5 linked regions of the Nothobranchius furzeri genome follow. The protein of the gene in region 1 interacts with the protein of each later gene in a biochemical or structural test. Links are inferred from orthologs where the notes say so. Each region holds a gene or a part of one and is shown on either strand. Other genes may lie near its edges. The genes, in order: wdr5, chd8, setd1a, kmt2cb and setd1ba.

Region 1 (4,027 bases):
ACGGTTAGCTTCTACCAGCCGAGATGTTCTATGCTGTTTTCTGGACGCTAAACCAACAATAGCCGTCCTCGTCATGAGCCAAGATGGGTGAGCCCATGAATGTTTAGTGACAGTGTAACGTGGATCTGTCAGGATTTTCTAACCCTAGACTTTCACCATCTATTTTCTAGCTAATCCAGAAGATAGGAGACTTTTGTCATGTTCAGCCTGCATGAAAAACCTCAGAGTAACTAAAATAATCATTAAAAAAGGTTTTTCAATGAACCACACCTTAAAACATTCTTACCGAGTTAACGTCCCAGATCTTCAGAGTTTTGTCATCCGACGCAGAAACAAGAAGGTTGGAGTCAGATGACCAGGCCACATCAGATATTCCCTGGAAAATAAAGAAATTCTAAGATCTCAAGGCTTCAAGGACATAAAATGATACAAGAGTAAACAATGGAGTCATTTCTCATGTTTATCTTCTAAAAATGTAAATACAATCTTGTTCTTGCTTTGAACGACCAAACAGATCAGACTCAAAGTTTTTATTATTCACTGCATGTGAATACCCTCTGCTGCTGCATGGCACTCAAATGGTGTGTTTGGAATAACAGAAGAAAAAAAGAACAGATATAAATATATAAACAGAAGTACATGTTTACTAGATATGTAGCAGCAGTAAATGTATTCACTTTATATTAGACTTATTGCACTGGTGACTGAGGTTTTTGCTCTAATGCGCATGAGAGGGTTTTAGTACATTTAGTTTACTGCTGTGGGGAAGGGGATTGTTTGCACCAACTGGACGGCAAGAGTCCAAAACAGTAATGACCAGGGTGGGAGGAGTCTTTGATGTTTTAGTAAAAGCGGTGAAACTCTACCTAATACAGTCCTGCAGGCAGAAACACAACAGTGCCACAGGTAAGGGTCCCTTCTACTCACAAGTTTGTGTCCAGAAATGGTTTTCTCAAACTTGCCATCATAAGCGCCCCAGATTTTGATGAGTTTATCAGCAGCTGTAACACAAACAATGAAAAAGACATCATGAAAAAGAGAAAAAAAATGACTGAAAAGTTGCAAAATGGTAAAAAATATATAATTTCCCCATTTCAATCATTTCAGCTGATCAGATATTCAAATGAAACGAGTGTACCCAAAGATAAATACTAAAACCAATAAAAATTTCACAATTGCATAAGAATATTTAGTCACTAAAGCACTGCTATTATTGTTATTTACATTTAACTTAGAGCACAAAATACACTTCATCTATGCAGTACAAGTGTTTTATCAAACTTTAAAAAAAGCTCTGGATCAAACATAGTTTCACAAAACCCAATACATTTTATTATGGAATGAAAGAAGATTTATGTTGAGGTAGCTGAGATTTAAACAAGATATGATTCAAAATGAGATGCTTACACGAGCTGGCGAGCCATTCTCCACTTGGACTGAATTTAACCGAGGACACAGCCTTAGTGTGTCCCGCTAGTGTGAATTTCAAACTGTAGTTTGGTTTTGCAGGTGCAGTCTGCAAAAGAAAACCAGTTCTAATTTAGCAAATGAATAAACATGATGAAATACTTTCAATAAAGAAAGAAAAAATCCGAAATAATGCTGGAATATTGACAGTCCTTAACAAAAACTTAGAATTAAACTATCATAAGAGGACAGGGTGGGAGATTACAGGCAATGCCAAAACTTGGGTTTGTCAGACCTTGCTTTGGCTAGCAGAGGCTGATGGGACAACTGGAGGCTTGGTGTCAGTCTCTGGTTTCTTGTCCTCTGTTGCCATGGTGAGGAAATCAGCATCTATTGCACCTGAGACAAAAGAAGAAACCATAAAAAAAGTTAATAAATCAGGCAAGTTAAACCTAAAGATTAAACAACTGGGATAAGTTATTGGGTGGAAATTTTACAATTTCTAACACCCGGAATTTTAAAGTTTGGAGAAATAAGATAAACCCTCCAGCTCGATGACTGCTAATAACCACCATTAAGGTAAACGTGATTAAAAACTATTGTTTTATCTGTTAGCATTAGCTTCCTTTACTGTGATCTAAAATAAACAGTGGGGTTTACTTTAAATAAGATAAATTAAGTATATATCATGTAAATTTTACTTTAATTAGGCTTATTAATAGGCTGTGATGCTCAAAAGTATTTAAATGCCCGTTTAGGGTCCGTTTAGCTATAAAATTAGCTAATGCAGCTAGCTGAAGTTAGCTAACGTTAAATTGCTCTTACTATGAAAACCGATTGAGGCCAACCCCCTTGTCCGGTTACCGTTTACCATCTTGTGTTGCCTTCAAATGCATTGACACCAGCTCGTTTTTGCTTCGAATTATTATTTATGCGAAAAATAAAAGCAAACAAAGGGAGAACGAGTACGTTCGCTGTAAAGTTCAACACCTGAATATACTTGGGTTACCTTCGAACAAAACAACGTGAAGATCTATAGATTAGAGGCTGTCTCGCGGAATAAAATGTATTTTGGCATGAACGCCACAGTTATATGAAGAAGCTAATCGCAGTTTTGACATGCAGTTGATGCTGTTGACAAGTTATGCAGCCACGAAGGGGGCCTCCATTGAAACAATGAAGATTCGGTTTTACACCGATACTTACGTTGATCAATTTAGATCTACAGTCAGACTGGTACTCCTTGCAAATCCTGGAAATCTAAAACAGTCCGTATAATAACTAAAGAGAGATAGAACAAAGAACAAATCAAGCTATTTGCTTGAGGATGTTTGCCTGGTAAAGGAACGAGCTGCGAGGTGAAGCGGGGAATGTGCTTACAGTTTGCGCAGGCGCATGACGTTCAAAAGTGACGGGAACTAATGAGGGACAATTATGAAAAAATCGTTTCGACTGCCGTTTGAAAAGAGCCCAATAGTTTTAATTAATCTTATTTATTACAAGTTTGTATTTTTTAAATTTAAAATGACAAAAATTCTCAACAGAGAATTTGTAGAAGTACATTATGTGAAATACTTCATCTAAATTTCAATGAAAGGCAGTAGCCATTTAAAAACCAGGCTGTGGCTGTCAGAGTCAATCAATATGCAAAAAGGAAAAGTCTACATGAAACAGAAACAAACACACAGCAAACAAAAATCTAAATAAAACAAACAAATTACATATCTTTAATACGTCGTAACCTTATTTTATGCTTTATGTAGTTATGAACTACTGACTGTGATATTTTCATAGTAAATCACTTGCATTTATTTATATAACCCTAACCATTTACTTTTTAGCTCAATACTTTCCACAATTATAAATATGATTTTGTGAAATGCAGATTTCACACTTTTACCATAAATCAGCTGTGAACGCGCTTTGGATTCTCCGGCTCAACAGATGGCGCTATGAGCACCAGACCTGTCCCTTCAGCCGTGGCTGCAATAGGTCGGGGAAGAAGTTTCTAGTTCTTTTTGAACACACTGCACTCTGGTGTTCACTAGTTTGTTTTGGCTTCGGTGAGCTTTCTTCCAAGCCGTGCAGCGTCAAGCTCCCATGTCAACACGCCCTCTTAAATGAGTTGGTAAACACTTCTGTTGTTATTTTCTTATTTTTACTCATTACTTAGCGGTTAGCCTCCTCCATAACAACAATAGGTGTTTAAAGAAGCGGACTTCTTCGCTTCGTTATATGATAATTTAATTCAAGCTTATTTATTGGCGCTACATTTTGCCCCAAATTAAAGCAAACGTTACTTAACCAAAACCTGTAGTTGGTATTTCGAAACTTATATCAACAGTCGGTGTCACAAAGTGTGTTGTCATCCGCTGCAGTGTCCCTTACCAAACCAGCTAGCTAACTTTATGCTAACGAACATCGTGCATACTTGTGTTTTTATTTCACGATAAGTATTTGAAACGTTTTAAAGCCAATCATGTCGCTTTGTCCAAACCTACATTTTAATACATTTTGAGTAAAACCATCTCGCTTATTTAGTCATTTAGTCTCATTCGTACATTACGCCACGTTTTTCACTGTAAACGAAAAGTATTTGACGATATCTTCTGCGTCACCG
Region 2 (3,515 bases), on another chromosome or scaffold:
CTACCTCATCAACGGTAAGGCTGAGGGGCGCCACAAACGATTGTTTTCTTATTGCACCAGGATGCAGCTGCTCTAATTCAGCCATCATTAGTTTCTAGTTTCAAGTGTGATCCGTTATGTGCAAGCTTATCAAGCTTATAAAACAACAGGGCTCTCATGTCCGTCACCAACATGTTTAAAATCGCCCGGTCAGAACCTTTGCTTGTCGACGTGTGCATGTTGGCTAGGTAACAAACTCGTCGAGCGCTTTTTTAATGCTGTAAGGTAGCGAGATACAATCAATCGTTGGCGTTTGTAACGTAAGAGCAAATAGGTGACATACGTGTGCTAAAGGTCACGAAATTGCCATCATTACTGTTGTTGCTACAGCTATGAACACAAGTAGCTCCCTGTTGATGTTAGCAGCTAATGAGAAGTAATTAGCTTACAGAGGCGACTGTCCGTCTTTGTTCTCCGCCATGACGAGCTTCCTTTGAAGGTATTCGTGCATGAACATGCTCCCGTGACAAGATTTAAATGTACGTGCTTCTCTTTTGTCTTTGTAAAGTGCTCCAAACTTTTGAGCTACGTTGCCGGCTTGCCAAGTCTTGTTTTTTCCAGTGACGCGACGGCTCAGCCGGGCGGCCACATGTGCCTCGAACAAAAAGGCAGAAAGCAGCAGTGGTGCTGCAGCGGGCAAAATTTATAAAACGCTTCATAGAATAAATGACGTTGACTTCAATTTATTACCGACTGTTTTGTTTGTTGACGTCATCATGACGTAACAACTAATCGTGGCAGCACTAGTACGGCCTAACATCTTTTAAAAAATCAGCTACCCAATTAATTACTGTTTCCTTTTTCCTTGTTCAGGCGCAGAGGAGAAGATCGTGGCGGAGCTGCGGCAGGTGTATGACCCCCTGGCCCCTGACTTTCATTTGCAAGCCCTGATTCGGTCAGCTGGGAAACTGGTGCTTCTCGATAAGCTGCTGCCCCGTCTGAAGGCTGGAGGCCACAAAGTGCTCATCTTCTCCCAGATGGTGCGCTGCTTGGACATCCTCGAGGACTACCTCATCAACAAGAGGTATAAACATCTACACACATCGTATTTTATCTCTTGATGGTGCAAAGTAACTTTGACATTATTGAAAGTTTGGGGAAACTTTGAAGAAACCTTCATGGGTTTTGTATTTCTCCAGGTACCTTTATGAACGAATTGATGGTAGAGTGCGTGGGAACCTGCGACAGGCAGCCATCGATCGCTTCAGCAAGCCAGACTCTGATCGTTTTGTCTTCCTCCTGTGTACTCGTGCTGGTGGTCTGGGCATCAACCTGACTGCTGCTGACACTTGTGTCATATTTGACTCTGACTGGAACCCTCAGAATGATCTGCAGGTATTGTGATGTACTAACGACGGGTTTTAAAGCTTTCTGTTCTGCCTCCACACCTTTTTCCCTTCTTTTTTTTTTCAGGCCCAAGCGAGGTGTCATCGTATTGGACAGTCAAAAGCGGTCAAAGTCTACCGTCTCATCACCCGGAACTCCTACGAGAGGGAGATGCTGGACAAAGCGAGTCTGAAGCTCGGATTGGACCGGGCTGTCCTTCAAAGCATGAGCGGCAACAAAGACAGCAGCGTCAACGGGGTAACGACTCGCTAGGCTGGTTGCTCACGTCACGTCTCATTGGATCTCTTGTCTAAACAATTTAATGTCATGTTTAACAGCTCCAACAGTTTTCCAAGAAGGAGATTGAAGATCTGTTGAGGAAAGGAGCCTATGCCGCCATCATGGATGAGAATGACGAAGGCAGCCGGTTCTGTGAGGAAGATATTGACCAGATCCTTCAGCGACGAGCCACCACCATCACTATTGAGAGTGAAGGAAAGGGCTCTACTTTCTCCAAAGCCAGCTTTGTGGCCTCTGAGAACCGCAATGACATCGCCCTCGATGATCCTGAATTCTGGGAGAAGTGGGCCAAGAAAGCAGATATAGACATGGATTCTATCAATCAGAAGGTGACGCTTTGGTGTTTGATTTTAATGGAGAGATTTATGGCTCACACAGATGGATATCCTCCTAAATCAGTTTGTTCCCTCCCCCTGCAGAACACACTGGTGATCGACACCCCCAGGATTCGCAAGCAGACCCGTCAGTTCTCCACTTTACGTGGCGAAGGTGGAGACCTGTCAGATCTAGAGAGTGATGACGAATATCCACCTGCTAATTCTAGACATTCGCGTGCTTCTCGCCGCTCTGATCGCCACAGCGGAGGAGGATACGGACGCACCGACTGTTTCCGGGTGGAGAAACACCTGCTGGTCTATGGGTGCGAACATGGTGTTTCCCTTTTATTTCGATGTTAAGCGGTCTTGTTGACGTTGCCTTGCGGGTTTGATCTGCTGTAGGTGGGGTCGCTGGAGGGACATCTTGTCTCATGCCAGATGTAAGAGGCGTCTGAGTGAGCGTGACGTGGAAACCATCTGCCGTGTCATCCTGGTCTTTTGTCTGCTGCACTATCGTGGTGATGAGAACATCAAGAGTTTCATCTGGGAGCTCATCACTCCTCCAGAGAATGGCCGAGAGCCTCAAACACTACTAAACCACTCTGGTATGAGGCTGTCATTTTCTCTTTTCAGTAGTTAAATCAGAAGACTAAATGAACTGTTGACATGTTTTTGTGTTTTTTTTTTTTTATTCAGGCCTTTCCATCCCCGTTCCAAGAGGCAGGAAGGGAAAGAGGGTGAAGGCTCAGAGTACGTTTGATGTGCAGAAGGTTGAGTGGATCCGCAAGTACAACCCTGACACTCTGCTGCTTGATGACAGCTACAGAAAACACTTGAAGCACCAGTGCAACAAGTGAGTGAGGCCAGTCAGACGCTGGTTCATGTCAACGACTTTGATTTAAGCTGAGATGTTTCCTCCGTTGTCAGAGTGTTGCTGAGGGTCCGGATGCTCTACTACCTCAAACAGGAGGTTATTGGTGAACATGCAGATGCTGTCTTGAAAGGAGCTGAGATCAGGTATTTGATGCTTCTTGTTTTATTTAAAGGTTCAGATTCGGTTACTGAGACGCCGTTTGTCTTTAGGGACGTGGACATCTGGATGCCAGAGATGGAGCAGCAGGAGGTGCCTGCTGTGTGGTGGGACGCTGATGCAGACCGCTCACTTCTTGCTGGTGTTTTCAAACATGGTAGAGTTACTTATTAAAAAAAATGAAGGCTGACTTTTTTTGGTTCCTGTTGGACTGGACCGTTTCCTGATGCTGGGACTTGATATTTGTTTTAAAGACGTTGGCGTTTAACTGATCTGATTTTGCAATTGGTTACCAGGTTATGAGATGTACACCACCATGCGAGCCGATCCCTGCCTCTGCTTCATAGAAAGAGTCGGTCGGCCTGACGACAAAGCCATTGATGCTGAGCAGCAAACCGGTGACGCGGAGCTCGGGGATGAGTAAGTTACCGCTGCTTTGTTCTGCCTTTCATAAATTCTACTTTTGTGATTAGAAAGTGGTTCTAACTGCTGATATTCAAACG
Region 3 (3,515 bases), on another chromosome or scaffold:
TCCAGCTTCTGCCTTTCGCCTCAAAACCAGGAGAAGGCAATGCCCTCATTGTCCCCCCTCCTGGACGAGCCCAGGATTCAGAGGAGACCAAAAAGGGACCTTTTGTTATCACGCACACAACTTCTGTCAAGTCTCCCAGCAAACGGGGAGCAGGCAAAGACTCTCCCAGATCTCCCGCCCCTATTATGATATGCCGCACGGTGCAGAACCTTCCATTGGACCATGCTTCTATGTGTAGGATGGCCTTTGAGGAGGCCCCTCCACCACCTTCTGTCAAGCGGCCCAGAGGCAGACCTCGGACATCCAGCATTTCTGCTTCTTCCTGTCACTCCTTCAGAGAGGATGACGAGGATGAGGAGGAAAGTGAGCTAAGGTTAAGACTTAGAGAGCAGGTGGGAGCTTCCAGCCTCCTGCAGCTGTCCTCGGCCTCCACAGCTGACCTGTCTGTGCTGGCTGATGTAGCCTTAAAAATGGACCCAGATGCTGGGGACTCTGAGGAGACAGAAACTTCTGATGAAGCAGAAGAGCAGAAAATGGAAGGAAATGTCCTCTCTCCAGAGTCGCTGGCTTTGCTTGTAAGTCCTGGAGGTGTTATCGTCCTTTTGGAGCACAACTACTGCAAACCTCCTTTACTCGTAGCACCATCCACTTCCAAAAAGGCTTCCTCTAGACAAGATTCCTCCATCTTAGTCCCGACAGACCTCAATTCTATTTCTGGGGTCCTTGAGGCTCCAGAGGAAGTGATTGGAGAGGCGTTACCGTCCAGGTTGTATGCTGGAGACTACCTGCCTTCAGCGGGAGAGCTGAGTGATTCTGATGATCTGAGCCACGTGGCAGCTGCAGCGCCATCTCCAAAGAAGAAACATTATCCTGGGAAAGGTTTAGAACTTGAATATGACAAGAGTGAAAAGAGGAAGAGAAAAGATAAAGAAAACCTTGAGCCACACCATTCACGGAAGCAGAAGGAGCCGGCAGGCAAGAAGCAGAGGAAGCAGAAACTAGAGGTACGTGGTTTCCTGCAGATGGCTGAGTCATCCTCTGCAATCTCTCACAACTTTATTTTTTTTATTTTTTGTGCACAATTTTTATTAAGGTCATAAAAGCTGGTATAGTTTGTTTAGGTTTATATAGACCAGTGTCTATTTGGCTTTGTTCACACTGCAGGTCTTGATGCTTAATTCCGATTATTTTTTTGTATGGTTGCACGCATTATAACTGAAATGCAACATCAAACACTCTCCAGTGTAAACGGTTCATGACCCCAAAGTGACTCGCATGCGCAGAAGATAAGAAGTCACACTCAGTGGAGTCGTGGAGAGGTGGAAGCCTTCACTGAGAGTTCATCCGTAATTTCAGGATCACACCTGGAAACTATTTTACTCCCCTTTCCCACCATCCTACCTTAATAGTATTCCCAGGAAATGTTCCGATGCTACGTTCATTCATGGACAAACACCCCAGCCCTCTCTGACAGTGACCGGGGAGACGCTTTGCTCCAGCAGCACCCTCCATTCATACTCGCTTCTATTTAATAATCATTTCAGTTCCAAAACTTGACAGGACGTCTAGACAGACCTCTGAATCCCTCCTTCAGCACTTCTTCTCGGAAACGTGAACACACGTGCTCACCTCTGATGATCAGTGATAGAGGAGGCAGATTTGATGCAACATGATCGTTCAGACTGAAGTTGCTTTCAAAAACATCAGGATACGTATTGGATTCAGTACCACATATGAAAGTCACTTGGATTGGATTTGAAAAAGTCTGATCGGTGCTGTTTTGGCTGTTAAAAAAACAGAAATGGGTCACACATGAGAAAAACTTGGATTTGATGCGCTTTTGCCTGCAGTGTGAATGTAGCCAATGTGAGATATTCCCACTACTGCAGCAGAGACGATAATAAATGAGAGCTTTATCAGTCCTCTATAGCAGTGGTCCTCAATAGGCGGCCTGCAGGCCTTCTCTTTGTGGTCCCTGAACCCCGCGTGCATCCACACACCTAAAAACATTTTTTTATTTATTTACCCCCCCCCCCCCCCCCATTTTCTAGAAGCTGACCGATATGAGTTTTTTCAAAGGCCAATGCTGATTTTTAAAGAATTTTGTTGCCGATTATTAAGGCCTATATATACGTTTTAGCAGCACATTGATTGTGAAAGACACTGTGTGCAATATAAATGAAGTAAGTCAGTAAATCTCTGATTATTTATTGAACTTCACATACAAAACAAGCTCAAAACATTAAAAAATTGGTGTGTTGGGGTCCTTCGGGTCCTTTCTTCAGTCTAGTAGTGGTGGCAGTTGGTCACACAGATGCCTGATTTTTTTATTTAAAAAAAGTTATTTTTATTTATTTATTTATTTATTTGCAGCTTTTAAAAATAATTTCAGCCAATATAGAAACAATGTAATATATTGGCCTTATATATTGGTTGGCCTCTACCATTTTCACAACAGTTTGCTCTAGCTGTATGTTCTGTGTTACAGATTATTAGAAGTTCTTTTCAGTTTGGTCATTTAAAAAAATAAAAGTATATGATTTTGCCTCAATAACCGAAAATGGCCAGTTCATATATTACCTCCTCTTGACCACATTTGTGTCATGATTTGTACTAGATGTCAGTAAATCCTAAATAGACCCAAATCCAGTGACAGCTGACTTTTCGTCCTCCAGGATTCTGACTTAGATGAAGATGTGGACGTGGAGGAGCTTGAATCTGGGGAGCTCTCCAGCTCAGACACTGATAACGAGATGGCAGAAGACGTGAGGAAGAGCGAACGCCTCTTTCTGCAGGAGGCGGGGGTGACTTCGCCACGCAGGCTGAAGCCTGTTCCTGCACCTGAGCTGCCACCTGTTAAGTTTGAAAACCGTAGTGAATTTGAACAAATGACCATCTTGTATGACATCTGGAATGCTGGTCTGGATGGTGAAGACTTGACCTACCTGAAGAAGACTTATGAGAAGCTGTTACAGGACGACCACAGCTCCGACTGGCTCAACGATACTCACTGGGTCACTCATACTGATATCCTTTTCAAACGCTAACTGCTCAGATCTTTTCCTGACATTTCCTGTACCATGTATTACTATTTAATATGACTAAGATGAAATGTTTACACATTTCTGATGTTTCATCCTTGACTCTTGAGCTGCACTAACCAATTTACCAAACCCTCGACGCAAAAAGAAGAACACAGATGGACAGCTTCGAGAGCATGTGACTGGATGTGCCAGGAGTGAGGGTTACTACGCCATCAGCCGCAAGGAGAAGGACGTCTACCTAGACCTGCATCTTCCCGAGCAGGTCATACGGGAAGTTGAGAATGTCGATACCTCAGTAAGTAACCTCTTAAATCGGAGCTAATTCATTTGATATGAGCTTTCCTCTTTGATTTATTTAAAAGCAACAAAAAAAAGTTGTTAAATGTAGGTATAAGTTACAGAAATAAACTCGCAATAGCTTCTAATGCTGGTGTGAAAATAACGATGGGTTTCCTTTGAGACAATTGTAGA
Region 4 (3,976 bases), on another chromosome or scaffold:
ATGAAAGTTGACATTGTATATTACCTTCCCAGCCCTATGGACAGCGAATTGTCCTCTTCATGTCCCAAAATAATGGGGGGATGAAACGTTTTATCAACCAGCCAGCTAGCAGCTAGCTTCTCTCCAATGAAACAAGACCGCAGTTCTCAAAAATGCACAGCGCATATCATTATATCCCAGCGTTGCAATGATATTCCCAACTTTGCCCATTTGATGGAAAAGCCGTTGATGTAAATCCAAAAGAAAACCGCTTCACTGGCATTTGCGGAGATCACTTTCCTTTTTCTCCAATGACAGCTGTCGAGTTCGGGTAACACAGCTAGTTGATGTTAGCCACCCAAAAATTTGATCATTAACATGAAAACAAACAAGAGCCAAAACACATGTGGCTGTCAAAAAAGAAGAGCAACCAATCGGTGGATAAAACTTCAAATTCTTGAGGAACGTGTAACGACGAGGAGAAGGAAACGTTCGGTTCCGACCGCTGGCTTGGCAACTGGTTCTATTTTCTTCAGCTGCGACAAGCAGAAGCGGCCAGTTAGGAGACTCTCGCAACCAGCCTGCCACGCAGTAACAACCGGCTCCAAAAACGTGTAGAAACAAACATTAGCTTGCCCAAAATAACAGTGTGTCCGCCGAACGATGTGAGCTGAAAAATATATGAGAAAAATCATAAAATTAAGTTGAGGATGACGCTTCGGCGTACTCTATAACGGTGGCCATATCTAATGATAAGTGGCACCGAAGCACAGACCCTCCTCCCCCTAGGCTCTTAAAAAAACTAGATCCACCTCGTCCGAGCAGAACTACAGCAGACACGTATTTTCACATCGTCGTGGTTTATTTAAAATTAGTATTTCAAGAGTTTGGCAAATATATAAGCGCACGGATAAAACACAGGCATCAATAAATTGCACCCAAGTCGTTTTACGATTTCTTCAAAATACTCTCTGACCCTGCGGATTGATATGAGCATTTAGTAAATAAAATAATGGCCAGGGTAAGTGCGAAAAGGCGGATTCTGGAGTTTTTGGAGAGGAACGGTCAACAATGAACGCTCCAGTTTATGCAAATGTTTTCCCAAAAGAAGCAAAGAAACTCACTGTCAGCTTTCCAGGTTTCTTTAAAAAATATGAGTACTGATAGTTGGCATTAGTGGTGGTGTTTTAGACCTCGCGCAATGTTACCTCATGCTGGCAGGGACACCACAGCGTCCTCATTTTATCTCCCCCCCCTCCCCCTCCCACTCCCCCCCTACCCCCCACAGCAACAAACGTGAACTCATGGGCGCGCGCACGTACACTCACAAACAACACACAATACCTTTGCAAACCAGGCATTGCATTTTAAGGAACCTGCATACTGCCAGACACGCTGCACATGCAGGGGTTAACTTTCCTAAAGGTCCCCAGGGGTTGTCTTTCAGCCTGCACATGCATGAGAAATAAACAAAAATGTTGTGTATTATCACAAGTTCTGCGTTTCAATTACTCAGTCAATCACATTTTATTTATTTCCTTCGTGAGACGCCCACATTATTAGTGTTAATGATAATAATGTAGGTAAACGTCAACGATTCTTTGCATGAACCATGGCACTTCTTTCCTAAGCTATGCGCGCCACCTGCTGGCCAATGCAAAATATTGACTTTTTACTTGATTACGAAATTTTAAACGAATAAATAAACACCACTACTACTACTACTACTACTCAGTGGCGGTTCTACATGGAATTACTCCCCGGGCGAGGCCCCCTTTGAGCGCCCCCCCCCAACCGCCCCCACCACCACCACACCGCCCCACCTGCACGAACACACGTTTTCTACAAACAGGCAGGTTTTATTAGAACGACTATTGAACATTCATTTTTCTAAGTTGCACATATTTACATTAATTACTATGAAGTTGTCAGAATGTAAAGCACTATACATTATACACTGTATCAAAATATATAGAATCAAATATACAAAAACAACTAAACTAACTAAATATTAAGAATATATGCACATAATATATAATAAATATTCTAAATAGCAAAAATATTTAACACATAACAAACTAAAGATAATCACTATACAGCACTGCACTTAGAACAGAAAACACAAACTAAAATTAAAACCTAACCTTGATGCAAAGTCATCAATAATGTCATCACATGAAATCTGCTCCCCTACTGAGTGATTGATACTAATCAGAGCCAGGTGAATGAGCCGCCCCTGAAACATAGGTGACCTCAGGTATGACTTGATCAAGTTTTGAAAAGCTCCTCTCAGCTTGAGCCACAGTGACTGGCAGAGCAGTCCAAAAGTTGGGGTAGATCTCCAATAGATCTTTATCATGATCCATAATATTTTACAATTGCCTCTGAAATTGTAATTTAAACTGACATAAAAAAACTGTAGACTACCAAAAATGCCAACTTTTACAGAACAAATCATGTAAAAAATAATCAGTAGAGCCATCTGCAATAAATAAACAGGATAGTTAGTGGTGACTGGGGAGTTCTCTTCTGCTTGTAGAGTTGTTTTATTTATTATTATGTGAACATGATCAACATGTGTTTATTGTTGTTCAGGCGGGCCACAGGCTGCAGTGAGCATTTAACAAATCCTAGTTTGAATCAGTAAAAACGATTCAAGGAATTTTTTCGAACCATTTGAATATTCGTTTAAATATTTCAGCCCTATTAGCTCTGTTAGCAATTAGTTGACCAAATTTAACCGTTAAAATCCCAGTTAACTGGTTCAAAAAATTGAAAACATGCATCATGAGAGCGAACATACCTTTATCTTTCTCCTCTTTTTTCTTTTTTTTTTTCCTGAATCGGGCACCTGGTGGTTTTAGCCTTTTTATGTTCATCTCTTCTGTTTGGCTCTTGACTCAATAAGTTTCCTTTAGTCAGGACTAAACTATTTGACCTTGATGGGGGGGTGAACACAAAATCGTTTTGTTTTTCCTTTTTTATTTGGCCATTTCACACAATTCAGAAACACCTGAAAGAATGATAGGCCTGTGTTTATGATATTATGAATGAAATATGGAAGAACATCAAGATGTGATCGACTTTAAACATGTTGATACAGTTGATTCAGCCCCTAGCTCATTTCATTTGGACCCACCCAGAGGTGAATTCTCCCGCCGCACCCCTCCCCTTCCTGTTCTCCATACACACACACACGGTGCACGGAGCGCCTGCAGCTGCAGGGGGCGCCAACTTGCTGTTTCCAATCCAGACACTGTCATATGACAGATAATAGAAAACCTCGGTGCGGCGCAGGTTTCTTTTTTCTTTTTTTTTTACTCAGCGCTTGTGCGCCCCTTTTGTGTCATGAAAAAATGCCGCCCCGGGCAACTGCCCTGTCTGCCCGTGCCTAAAACCGCTACTGCTACTACTACTACTACTACTACTACTACTACTACTACTACTTCTACTACTACTACTAATAATAATAATAATAATAATAATAATAATAATAATAATAATATAACACCACCACTACTACTACTAATAATAACAATGAACAAGATAAAAAATATGTCTAATGGAAATTTTATCATAATATGGATAAGTTCAAAAATGTCTTAAGTGCAACTGTGGGTGACCCATTGCAGAGTAAATATGCTATAAAAATATATTTTTTTAAATCAAAGCTCATGTTTCTTTTATGTTGAATAATGAAAGCTTTTATTTTTCATGCATTTTAAAAATAATCACCTGCAAAAATGAACCAGTGGCACGTCCAGGTCTTGTCCTTTTGTGGATGATGTAGTTATCTTTAATGGAACTCAGCAGGGTGGCCAATAATATTCCAAGGGTGACATGTGCTATCCAGGCCACTCTCTGGACACGCCCCTGGCACCAACACACTGGGTAAATGACATTAAAGCGAAAACGCTTTAGACGCAGATTCATTATATTTTTCTAGTTTGAAACCAAATCTTTGACATATAACTCTAGGAGATTTCAGTATGAAAGA
Region 5 (3,515 bases), about 10 Mb from region 1:
TAAAACCATAGAAAAGCTACCTGAGCGTGCTTCTGTAACTTCTGAGGCAGCTAATAACTCACCAACACCTGCTACCAGCACTCAGGAGGAGCTTAGAAAGTGTGCTAGTGCTGATTTGAAGATACCAAACTTAAAAAAAAACTACTTTCACTTTACCCATGAGACTACGCAGCTGAGAAACCAGAATTTCCTTTATAAGGCAGAACAAAACCAATGACACAAAAGGCTTTACTACTACCGCCTCACGCTTAAGCTAAACCTGACTTCCTGTGTCCCTGTGTAACTGTCATTCACACCTGCACACACCAGCAACAGCCTCTCGTGCCAACTGGGTATGGAGACATGTGTCTCCGTCTTACCGTGTCTGTTTTATCAGCGGGACTGTGGCATCCAAAGGGCCCGTCCTTGAGGTCAGTTTTGCTCTTCTCGTGGACAGGAGAGCCAACTCTTCCAACCAATGAGGACATCCCGGGAACAGGCTCGTCATCATCCGAGTCTGGCAGTGGGGTTGGACTGATGTCCTCCAAGCCCATACTTGGGGGACGGGAATTCTGCTGGCCACCCTGAGAGCTACCAGTGTAAGGTGGGATCGGGGACAGCTGGGAGGACGAGGAGGAAATAGGACTTCCCTCCATGCGCACCTCGTTGTCCGAGTCCCGCTCCTCCAGGAACGGCAGCAGTTTTGTCCTTTTTTCTTTCAGGAGCATCTCGATGCGAGAATCCAGGCTGTTACGCTCCGAGTCCAGCACCGGAGAGCCGGGCGAGGGGCAGTCCTCCGGGGTCTGGGGGGGAGGGGTAGTCGGATGGGGACTAGGTTCAGGTGGCGGCTCTGGGATGGGAGGAGTTTCTGGTCTCTCCTTGACGGGTAAAAAGTCAGTTGGAGCTGCCAGTGGAGGCTGCGGAGGTAGGAGGTACTCACCCTCCCTTTGGGATGGGTGATGAAAAGGTGGCTCAGATGGGGGGAAGGCGGGAGGCAAAGGTGCCTGGTAGGGTGAGAAGGCAGACTTGAAGTTAGGCGTAGTGGGGGGAGGCGCGGAGTAGTTGAAGGAGGTGGTGGAAGGTGGAGGTTCAGGCGGGGTGAGCTGGTGCTGTTTTGAAGGAGCCTGCTCAGACGACGTACTGCGATACATGTTGCTGCGATACTGCGGCCTCTCTGGTCTGCGATTGTACGCATCTTGGAACTTGCTCTCGTGCCTCCGAGACTTGTAGCCTCCGGAGCTCTCGGGACGGCTGGACTGGTATGCAGGCGTGGACTGCCGACTGGAGAAACTAGAGTCCTGAGAGAAGGGTGTGCCTGGCTGGCGTGGGGTGTGAGGGGTTCCCTGGGACTGGGGGGTGTCCTGCCTTAAGCTGGAGTAGCCGGTCTCCAAGCTCAGGGGAGTGGTAGAGCTGCTGGGCGGCAGCGCTCCTCCCACAGAGGAGATGCTGCTCTCAGACAACCTGCGGATGGGCTCGCAGGCCTGGAACAAAACGAAATGAGGATACCAGTCAACAACGGATGTCCCAAAAAGGCACAAAGCATAAAACAGGCTGTAAACAATGAATGTTGACACTACTTAAGAAGTTATTTCAAACTAAAACAACAGCAATAAAGTTTTAATTGACCAGTAACGCTTCAGCCAGGCTCCGCGGGGAAACCTCCCGGGTCTCCTCTACACCAACAGGCAGCGTCCTTGGAGTGTAGCTGCCATTCATCAGGAGCTGGAAGTACCTCAGGCGATTCTCACCTGCAGTACAGTAAACAAGACATGCTTAGTACTGGAAGACTAATAATGGGGTTAATTGTTCAACAAATGGCACTAATTCACAGTGGCTGAAAATGATGCTGAACAGCTGATCATTTCTAATGTAGGAGCCTTACAAAATGCCACGATCGATTATCAATCCCTCATCACGCCATGCATTCGTTTTCTCAATCAATGAAGCAACCTAACATGTGACTGAGCGTGGACCAAAGCATGTCTGCATATCTAACAAAAATACATGCAAATTACGAGTTTATGTGTAATCAATGGAAACATGCATAGTGACGCTTAAAACATGAAATCTTTGAATCAGCACAGATGCTATACATACATACATACATACATACATACATACATACATACATACATACATATATAGCAATTGAGGAATAATCTTTACATTTGGAGGTTTGCATCAACAAAGATCAATCAGGCATTTTGCTATAAAAAAGGTCAAATAAAGCACTTTGGTGTGAACTGAGGTGAGGAGGACTGTGACAGATTGGTTTGTGTTTGTTTGCAGATCTGAAATTATGCACAGAGGGAGTACACAGCACCCTCAGCTCTGAGCTTGTGGGAACAGGCTCATTTTCAATGAAATTCAATTATCCCACGTTACCAAGCAACGCACGTAAATTTCAGCACGTGACTGCTGTCATCCAGACAACCCAAAACAAACCAATAAAGCACACGTATGTGATTTTTTTTAGATCTGCGTTTCTGATAAACTATCTGAGAGAATAAAACAGTGCCTGAGCATATTCGATGTGAATGAATGGAGCTCTGTTGTTTACCTTTTGGGTCCAGCTCCACGTGGATGATGGTTCCCATCACAGACGTGTTGTGCAGCGACTGAACAGCCACCTTGGCGGATTTGACATTCTCAAAAACCACTTTAGCTATTCCCAGGTGCTTTTTGTTCTTCGGATTGTACAGGATCTCGACCTCCTCGATGTCTCCGAATTTTTTGCACATGTCCGTGAGAAATCCCTCCCTGATGTTGTCGTTCAGCCGGGCGAACGTCACCTCTTTCGGAGGCACGGGGCCGACGTAGCACTCATCGATCTGGGAGGAGGAGGACAGGAGTTAATAAGTGCCGTTGGGTTAATGATGCACCGTGCTGGAGGCGAGCTGAAGCAGCTACGATAAGAAAAGAAATACGAGGTTGCAGTAAATGTGTGGGTGAACTCTGTCCTGGAATATGTGAATGGAGATTTTAAAATCCTCCCGACGGGTTTAGCTCAGGTCCCAGAGATGACAGAGAGGGGGTGTGTCTGCAACTTCTGACAGCACCTCTTTTCCACAGGGAGAAACGCAGCGTGGGACTCCAGCCACAGTAGATACCTTAAACTTAGGCACCGGTAGGTCCGTTTCTTTGTACTTGGTCCAGAGACGACCGATCCTCGGGTCTCGGACGATCTCCACCGGTGGTATCCCAGGGTTCTGCAGGAGAGAAAGAGAGAGAGGCAGTCCTATTAACCATCCCGTAAACAAGTTCACACACGAACTTGTTGCAAAGTAGTCCTGGTGAAAGCAGGGGTGTTCAGCCCAGCCATCACACCCCCTCCGGAAACACCGTGTTAAAGATGCCGAACAATCCCCCTGGACATTCGGGGCAACGCGGCCGCTGTAGTAACGCATCATGGAGGTCGGCTACTCGGTTACTATTGTAGCCGTTACGCCGCGTCAAAGGCGGCACTTACTGGCATGCTGAAAGTCTGTCCATCGTAGCGATACAGTTTGTGTGATCCCTTCTTCAGCGCCGGGTCG

Evidence for each region.
Region 2: the proteins of wdr5 (region 1) and chd8 form a complex in vitro, tested with the Homo sapiens proteins (2 studies listed by BioGRID). The link is inferred for Nothobranchius furzeri from reciprocal best matches to the Homo sapiens genes WDR5 and CHD8.
Region 3: the proteins of wdr5 (region 1) and setd1a form a complex in vitro, tested with the Homo sapiens proteins (4 studies listed by BioGRID, with this or other methods). The link is inferred for Nothobranchius furzeri from reciprocal best matches to the Homo sapiens genes WDR5 and SETD1A.
Region 4: the proteins of wdr5 (region 1) and kmt2cb form a complex in vitro, tested with the Homo sapiens proteins (4 studies listed by BioGRID, with this or other methods). The link is inferred for Nothobranchius furzeri from reciprocal best matches to the Homo sapiens genes WDR5 and KMT2C.
Region 5: the proteins of wdr5 (region 1) and setd1ba interact in a test that uses a peptide from one of them, tested with the Homo sapiens proteins (3 studies listed by BioGRID, with this or other methods). The link is inferred for Nothobranchius furzeri from reciprocal best matches to the Homo sapiens genes WDR5 and SETD1B.

The regions. Positions count from the first base shown.
Region 1 is NC_091746.1:41,695,519-41,699,545, reverse strand, and holds the start of wdr5 (WD repeat-containing protein 5), read right to left. Parts: upstream 2,801-4,027; 5' UTR 2,614-2,800; intron 1,807-2,613; 5' UTR 1,781-1,806; coding exon 1,703-1,780; intron 1,517-1,702; coding exon 1,408-1,516; intron 1,002-1,407; coding exon 928-1,001; intron 377-927; coding exon 287-376; intron 1-286.
Region 2 is NC_091751.1:63,449,432-63,452,946, forward strand, and holds part of chd8 (chromodomain-helicase-DNA-binding protein 8), read left to right. Parts: coding exon 1-14; intron 15-852; coding exon 853-1,063; intron 1,064-1,178; coding exon 1,179-1,374; intron 1,375-1,452; coding exon 1,453-1,623; intron 1,624-1,703; coding exon 1,704-1,994; intron 1,995-2,084; coding exon 2,085-2,305; intron 2,306-2,384; coding exon 2,385-2,587; intron 2,588-2,678; coding exon 2,679-2,835; intron 2,836-2,909; coding exon 2,910-2,999; intron 3,000-3,065; coding exon 3,066-3,169; intron 3,170-3,308; coding exon 3,309-3,432; intron 3,433-3,515. UniProt on the Homo sapiens protein: ATP-dependent chromatin-remodeling factor, it slides nucleosomes along DNA; nucleosome sliding requires ATP. Acts as a transcription repressor by remodeling chromatin structure and recruiting histone H1 to target genes.
Region 3 is NC_091745.1:9,169,488-9,173,002, reverse strand, and holds part of setd1a (histone-lysine N-methyltransferase SETD1A), read left to right. Parts: coding exon 1-1,004; intron 1,005-2,675; coding exon 2,676-3,027; intron 3,028-3,157; coding exon 3,158-3,339; intron 3,340-3,515. UniProt on the Homo sapiens protein: Histone methyltransferase that catalyzes methyl group transfer from S-adenosyl-L-methionine to the epsilon-amino group of 'Lys-4' of histone H3 (H3K4) via a non-processive mechanism.
Region 4 is NC_091751.1:52,963,891-52,967,866, forward strand, and holds the start of kmt2cb (histone-lysine N-methyltransferase 2C), read right to left. Parts: upstream 2,804-3,976; 5' UTR 2,783-2,803; intron 252-2,782; exon of another isoform or gene 25-251; intron 1-24. UniProt on the Homo sapiens protein: Histone methyltransferase that catalyzes methyl group transfer from S-adenosyl-L-methionine to the epsilon-amino group of 'Lys-4' of histone H3 (H3K4).
Region 5 is NC_091746.1:51,994,324-51,997,838, reverse strand, and holds part of setd1ba (histone-lysine N-methyltransferase SETD1B-A), read right to left. Parts: coding exon 3,449-3,515; intron 3,189-3,448; coding exon 3,090-3,188; intron 2,811-3,089; coding exon 2,540-2,810; intron 1,728-2,539; coding exon 1,606-1,727; intron 1,461-1,605; coding exon 360-1,460; intron 1-359. UniProt on the Homo sapiens protein: Histone methyltransferase that catalyzes methyl group transfer from S-adenosyl-L-methionine to the epsilon-amino group of 'Lys-4' of histone H3 (H3K4) via a non-processive mechanism.